Yarrowia lipolytica: one gene and its partner. The protein of the gene in region 1 interacts with the protein of each later gene in a pairwise test. Links are inferred from orthologs where the notes say so. Each region holds a gene or a part of one and is shown in the gene's direction. Other genes may lie near its edges.

Evidence for each region. The genes of interacting proteins can lie anywhere in the genome.
Region 2: the proteins of YALI1_F09177g (region 1) and YALI1_B28830g interact in a protein complementation assay, tested with the Saccharomyces cerevisiae proteins (3 studies listed by BioGRID, with this or other methods). The link is inferred for Yarrowia lipolytica from reciprocal best matches to the Saccharomyces cerevisiae genes MRS6 and YPT6.

The regions. Positions count from the first base shown.
Region 1 is NC_090775.1:916,070-920,062, forward strand, and holds YALI1_F09177g (uncharacterized protein), read left to right. Parts: upstream 1-1,699; coding exon 1,700-3,400; downstream 3,401-3,993. Other genes in the region: YALI1_F09161g (uncharacterized protein), read left to right, coding at 70-123, 173-400; YALI1_F09211g (uncharacterized protein), read right to left, coding at 3,653-3,993. UniProt on the Saccharomyces cerevisiae protein: Substrate-binding subunit (component A) of the Rab geranylgeranyltransferase (GGTase) complex. Binds unprenylated Rab proteins and presents the substrate peptide to the catalytic component B.
Region 2 is NC_090771.1:2,881,054-2,884,463, forward strand, and holds YALI1_B28830g (uncharacterized protein), read left to right. Parts: upstream 1-1,983; coding exon 1,984-1,988; intron 1,989-2,051; coding exon 2,052-2,135; intron 2,136-2,183; coding exon 2,184-2,796; downstream 2,797-3,410. UniProt on the Saccharomyces cerevisiae protein: Protein transport. Might participate in post-Golgi transport.

The DNA.
Region 1 (3,993 bases):
TTGACCGAGGTACAAGTACGTGGGCGTACAGGCAGGAGCACCGTTACTCGTGCTCGTACCGTACATACTATGTCTAGTGTTGAATGGTTTGGTTGCTGTCCTGTCATTCGGACCAGTTTGTACGTACTTGACAAGTAGTCAAGTTAGTTGACGTTCCAAGTAATACTCATAGTCGGTTACGCTAACAGGAGCAATTGCTCGTGCTTTGGTGCTTTGGCAGCAAATACAAGCACAGCACACTGTCGGAATATCCCAATGCGGAGTTGCTCACTTGTCTCATCATCGCCATCAGACCAGTTGGGCAGGACCAACGCAGCTGGCTCACAGAGTTCCGTTTCGGGAAGTTGGAGATGAGACGTTGCGTCGGTTGGTTGGGACCGACTATATACCCGCAATTTAATAGCCGCAAGAGGCAGGTTGGAGATGAGAGCAATGGTCGACAATAGTGCAGTTATCGAGGGAGGCGTGAATCTGTCACACGACACACGTCATAGTGCAGTCACGATGACACGTCAAAACAATGTCGATGGACCAAACAATACTCACACTCAGCAGTATCGGTCCGGTTCGAACCTGTACTTGCTCGTACCCGGTGGCAAACCCACCCGCAGATTATCATCACATGACCTGGCCCCATCTCTCGGCTGTCCTTTGTATTGTTGGGCTTTGTTAACAGAACAAGGACGACCGTTGAGATGAAGCGAACACGGTTTCAGTAGGTGGCGGTCAATTGAACTGGCAAGAGAAAATGGACCTCTGCTTATACTGTTCAGATCGGTCTGTGTCACTACGCTCCCCTCGTAACTCGTACGCCACTCCAGCTGTCATCCACACACAGCTCGTAATGTCGCCACGCTCACATAAGTCATGCACTGGACGAAAGCTAAGATTGGCACGGCAGATACTGACAAGACGAGGGAGCGCTTTAATGGGGGTTTATGGGGGGATTTGAGGCGGAAAAAACCCAGACTTTGAGTCAATCAACCCCCCACAAGCTCCCTGAGACAATGCAACGCCCAAATCCCGCCCGCAACACGTGCTATACCCGATTCCCATGACACCCAATTCAACACCTTATTTAGCCTATCTGGGAGAGAAGGGCCAATAATTTATGTTCAACTAAGAGTAAGTTGTGAAAATTTTTCTCTGTAGAAAATGGTGGAGACAGACATTGGGCACGTGATGGGCGTCGGAAAGGCGATTAGGGCCCGTATAAAACCCCCCAAAGGCCAATTTATCCCCTGCCGGGGGTCCCGACACGTCACATGACCCCACATCCCCTCCAAGAGACCCCTCGGCACGTACTTTAGTGCACCCTGTCCAAGCCTCCTAAAACTCTATACGCAGCACATACCCCATATTCCAAGTCTACACCTGCATCTTTGAACCAGAGCGCTGGAAGAGTGCACGACATCTGTTTGTACTATTGCCAGGTGGACCTCAGAAGGAAACGAAGCGACACAAACACACAAGCGACACAAGCGGAACAAGATACACATCCAGAACAACATCCGCAACATCCGCAACATCCGCAACATCCGCAACATCCGCAGCATCCGCAAAAGCAACGCGCCCGCACACCAACTACACCTGTGAAGCCAACCAAGTCCCAGTACAAGTACTGTACACGCCACAAACCTCCTCTCTCGATAACGCAGACACCTCTCCCACACATCCCCTCAACCCCCTCTCACACCACATGTCTTCTTTCTCAGCATCATCGGTATCCAAACGAGGATCAATTGTGCCGCCACTGGCAGAGGACCCCGCGTTTGTAGACTCTTGCGACGTGCTCATCTGTGGCACGGGCATCGTCGAGTCAATTCTTGCGGCCGCCCTCGCATGGCAGGGCTCCAACGTGGCTCATCTGGACCGCAACTCCATCTACGGTGACTCGTCGGCAGTACTCAATCTCGATGAGCTCCCTAGATGGGTGGACGAGGTCAATTACGAGTCCGCCGTCTTCTCCAACGCCAAGTTGTACCAGCCCCGACCCCTGGACTCCAAAAAGTACTTTGTGGACCTGACCCCACGGGTGCTGTTTGCCAAGTCGGACATGCTGCAACTGCTGCTCAAGAGCCGGGTCTACAAGTATCTGGAGTTCCGGTCACTCACCAACTTCCACACGTACGAAAACGACAGCTTCGAAAAGGTGCCGGCGTCCAAACAGGACATCTTCACGTCCCAGCAAATGTCGCCCGTCGTTAAGCGTCAGCTCATGAAGTTCATCAAGTTCACCGTCGAGTGGGAACGTCTCTACAACGTCTGGGGACCCTACCGAGACAAGCCCGTTGTCGAGTTCATGACCAAGGAGTTCCAGCTGGAACAGACCCAAATCGATGAGCTGGTCCAGTCCATTGGCCTGTGTTCTTCCAACGATGTCGCCACCCCCGTCGCCCTCCACCGTATCAAGCGGTACCTGGTCTCCCTCGAGACCTACGGCGCGTTTCCCGTGGTTTACTCCATGTACGGATCTGCCTCCGAGCTGTCGCAGGGATTCTGTCGATCAGCCGCTGTCGGCGGAGCCGTATACAAGCTCAACGCAACCCTCACCGGGCTCGACGTGGACTCCAAGACGGCTATCTTCAACGATGGCTCCAAGGTGCGATGGTCCGAGAAGCTGGTGGTGTCCGAGGCCCAGATCACCGAGCAGGTGCGCTCCAAGATCCCTTCGTCCAACCCTGAGTACCAGATCAACCATCTTACGGTAATTGTCAACATGGACTGCAAGGAGTGGTTCGCCGAGGGCGAGGACGCGGCCATCATCGTGTTCCCCGTGGGCTCTCTGTCGTCCGGCAACACTAAGACTGTGCAGGCCATCTGCTACGGTGCCGAGTCTGGCCAGGTTCCTCCTGGTCAATGTATCTGGTACCTCTCCACTGTCCAGGGAGGAGCCACAGGCCAGCGGGACCTAGAGGAGGCACTGTCCAAGATGGAGGCATCGATTCTGCGGGAGTCGACCGAGGACTTTGAGTTCCAGGTGGACCAGTCGGATGTTATTTTCACGCCGTCCGGCGACCCCGTGCTATCGTCCGTGAAGCTCGGCAAGTCCATGAAGGATTTTGTACCCGAGAAGAAGCTGACGTATCTGATCAAGCTGTCGTACAACCAGAAGACGTCGATTCCGCCGCTGGAGGAGAGCATCAAGGATGTTGCTAAGAACGATGGAGACGAGAGTCCTGTGATTGTGACCTCAGGTGCACCAACGGAAATCACCTATGACGGCATTGTGGAGCAGGTCAAGAAGATCTACGCGCAGATCGTGGGTTCAGACGACGACTTTTTTGACGTTGACTTTGAAGACGACGAGGAGGACGAGCTGACGGGAATGGCCAAGCAGAATAAGAAGCAGGAGGACGACGATCACGTGCCCGACTTTGGCGATGACATGGAGCTGTAAGACGGGTTCCACATTGGATATACGATATAGATATTTATAGGGCTGTACGTTACTAGTGCAGTTCTGCTCAACATAAGTTAAGCTAGATGATGTTATGACAAGCAGGACGCGGGCGCGCTCGCAAGATCCAGTGTGGTGAGATTGGGTTCTTTATAGATGACTAGAACCACTTTGAGAGAACATCAGAAGCGGTAAGAACGTTAGTATATATTAGTGTACATGGTTAGTATTTATGGAATGACACTCAGTGGACTAATCAACACTTACCTCGAACAGTTCCATTTCAGTCTCTGAATGGACCAAAGAGTCTGACGAGATGAGGGGATCTGAGGAGAGGGCTACTTCTGAACCCAGGAGATCTGTCTCTGGTTCGACTTCGCCATCAGGTTCAGCCATAGGTTCAGGTTGGGCCAAATCCTCCATGGAAACCGTCTGAGTGTTTGTATTTCGAGGAGCTTTGTTCTCCTTGTCTTCGTCAGGATCCAGTTCAGAGGGAGGGTCTGGAGGTGGTGATAGAGATGGCAATGAAGTGGTTGGTTGTTGTGCTTCTCGTGAGGCGACATTCTCTTGCTGTGGGTTATTCTCTTGCTGGT
Region 2 (3,410 bases), on another chromosome or scaffold:
TCTATGAACTGGATACAACCGTTCCTCAGGGAAGTCCCGTCTTCCTTACAATGTATTTGACAGGATGAAATTCCTGAAGCAGAAATGTTTCCTGTTTAAGCAGAATCAGATATCTCGCCTTTTTATCCTCCTCACTTCTGTATTCTCGCACTTTTCTCCAATTTCTTACATTTTTTGAACCCCCCCCCCCCCCCCCCCATTCAACCCCAGAAACAATGGGCCTCGGCTCACCCAGTTCACCAACCAAGGGATATATGGAACCCGACTACTGCAAAACAGTCTGAAACACGCTATATCCTAACTACGAGTACATAGTGTTAGCCAAGTCCAGAACAATTCGCGTGTCCCCAATACATGTCTTATGCACGATCCGCATGGATAAAGCCCCCATTTATAAACGAATACGAGGAGATTACGACAGGTCAGAGATGTGCAATCGAACTACGAGATTGCCGTATAAATTGTGAGCCAACAGACCAGGTATTACCCATGACTAAGACACAACTGACACGCTGGGCAGTTGATATATTCTTCATCAAGTGGACCTAAACCATTAGCGCGTGAAAGCTACAAGGGTACGACCATTGGTCTTGTTGACACTAGGTGGAGGAAACAGTATTGACAGAATTGCTGGAAAAGAGTAACACAGGTTTACGTACCAATGTGTGGTGTACGAGTGCCTCATTCCTGTTGAGTTGTTGAAAACGTGGACTTTCTCGCCATGTCAGGGAGATGCAGCAGGGTCCTTGGGTAATATACAACCTCATAAGTACATACTGTAGTCTTAGACTAACTGATGAACCCTTGGATTACTGCCTGTACGAATACAAACACGACTATTTGTACCCTTGTATGTTCCGAAGATCTAAAGCATGTCTCGAGGGCGGCACATCCAGGGGTAGGGGTGAACCAACAGTTTAGCGACGAGCACATTCCAAGTCTTTTACTGTAAATTTACTGCATCGTCAATAGAATGTGCTACTAGACTTGCAACTTGACTTGGGCCGTAGTATATGCTGAAGAGATGGACCGGACAGGGCACTTGTTTGAGAGCGAGGACCAACACACGTATAAACAGAGCTAGATATAAACATCTGCAGTAATCTATTGTATAGAGACGTTTCCATAGTCAAAATACAGACACATTTCAGTCTAATTTCCATGAAACAAGTGTCTCTTGCCGGCAGTAAGAGTTCGGTTGGTTTGCACCCATGCACCCAACAGATAGTCTAGATCTGCTGAGTAACGACTGAGGAGCAGATAAAAACTGGTTTAGACTGAAAAAATGATATGGAGGCTGTTGCAATCTCGACTCTAGACGACATTACAACGGCACATCAACTGTCAAGGGTAGCCGAGGGTCGGTTGTAGTTGCCGAGGTGTACAGTGAAATCGACGTGCAATGGAGCTCTTTCGTAAAAATACACGTCACCAATGACTTCAAGGGAGATTACTGTATCAGTCCATATTATCCATATATCATGCCCCAAGTTTTTCTCACGTAAACACCTTCCCGTTGTGCGTGTACGAGTAGTACGCGTAGTACGAAATAGTTTGCACACAGGTGCCACAATGGACTAATAATACTCGTAATATAGCGTGCTTGTATAAACACAACAAGTCTTATTTATTGTGCCCACACCTTCCGCTTCCGCTTCCGCTTCCAGGCCTATGTCTACAAGTACGATACTTGTAGGTCTCTCTCATGTCTCCTTTCATATCGCTCAAGTTTCGTTCTCCCAACAGTCCGTATGAGCAGCCTAATCTGTCTGCCAACGGTGCACACGTGATCAGGAGTCTTGTAGACGGAGTGTGTTTTCCGCAGTAATGACGCCACAGAAAAAATTCAAACTGGAATCAACTCGCAGAAATTTGGAGGTGTCCATTCCACTCTTCAGAATTGGCCATGCCCGTTTCACAGAACACCTCAGCCCTAATCACAAGACCCACAACCTTAACCGGTACAAACCCTAACCCCCACACATGCAGTGAGTTGTCACCACCCAGAGGGACATGACGGACTAACAGGTTGTGATAATATCAGGGTGAAGCACAGAACGGCGATTTGAGCTACCGAAAAGCGAAGCAAAGACACGAAACAAGTCACACAAACCCGCGACTTTTGCCACCCGACAGTTTCACCGTTACAAGACACGCTTCCACCGCCCCAGATAGTCGCACAGAACCACTAAGATGACCGAAACAGGACAAATCCAAAAGTTCAAACTTGTCATTGTGGGCGAGCAGAGTGTGGGAAAAACGTCGCTGATCACGCGAATCATGTACGACAAGTTTGACCAGAACTACGAGGCAACCATCGGCATCCAGTTTCTGTCCAAACCCATGTATCTGCCCGATCGAACCATCCGGCTGCAGTTATGGGACACTGCGGGCCAGGAGCGGTTCCGATCTCTGGTGCCAGCATACATCCGAGATAGTCACATTGCCATTGTTGTGTACGCCATCGACTCGCGCAAGTCGTTTGTGGACGTGGACAAGTGGATTGAGGACGTCAAGGCCGAGCGAGGAAATCAAGTGGTGCTCATGCTAGTTGGAAACAAGAGCGATCTGGAGGAGTCACGAGAGGTGACGACCGAGGAGGGACAGGAAAAGGCCAAGCAGTACGACGCGCTGTTTCTGGAGACGTCGGCCAAGGCTGGCCACAATGTCAAGTCGATTCTCAACAAGGTGGCGTCCGAGCTGCCCGGTCTCGAGACGGCTCTCAAGACCGACCAGAGCGAGCTGATTGACGTGAATATTACAAACGAGCCTGAGCAGGACAGCTGCTCGTGTTAGACAGGCTGTGGAGGATAAGAGTATTATGACACTGAGCATGGATGTAAGTAAATAGGTGAAATTAATTTAACGACAGAGGTGTGGAAGACTGGGTGCTTCAGCCAGTAAAAACGATATCGTAAAACAATCTACCGTGTCGCGCTCTCCCTGCACATGCGTTATAGACATCAGGGGCTCAGGGGTTACAGGTGGAGTATCTGCAGTCTAGAACTTGCTGTAGATGTTCCGATTGTCTAGGAACACCCATGATTCTCCTTCAGTATGAGTATTCAGATGGATATATATGACGCGTTCTCTTCAAAAGCCTCCCCCGACAGAGAGTGCTCAAGACCCTAGAGTCCTGTGCAGTATGTACCAAGTACTGTATCTACTGTACCTACTGTACTCGTATCAGAGGTATCTCATGAACCATCTGACAGAAATATGGATTCTGAAAGGGGCCAGCTTCACATACACATCATACCGTCTATCCAGGAGCCCCTGGAGACTACAAGTAGGTGTAGTAGCTACTTGTAGTAGAGGGAAGGCCTTGAAGTACGGTAGAACATAAGATGAATGACCTTGTTACTCTAGCATATGGACAAGTACATACGTCCAGGTGAACTGAACAGTTT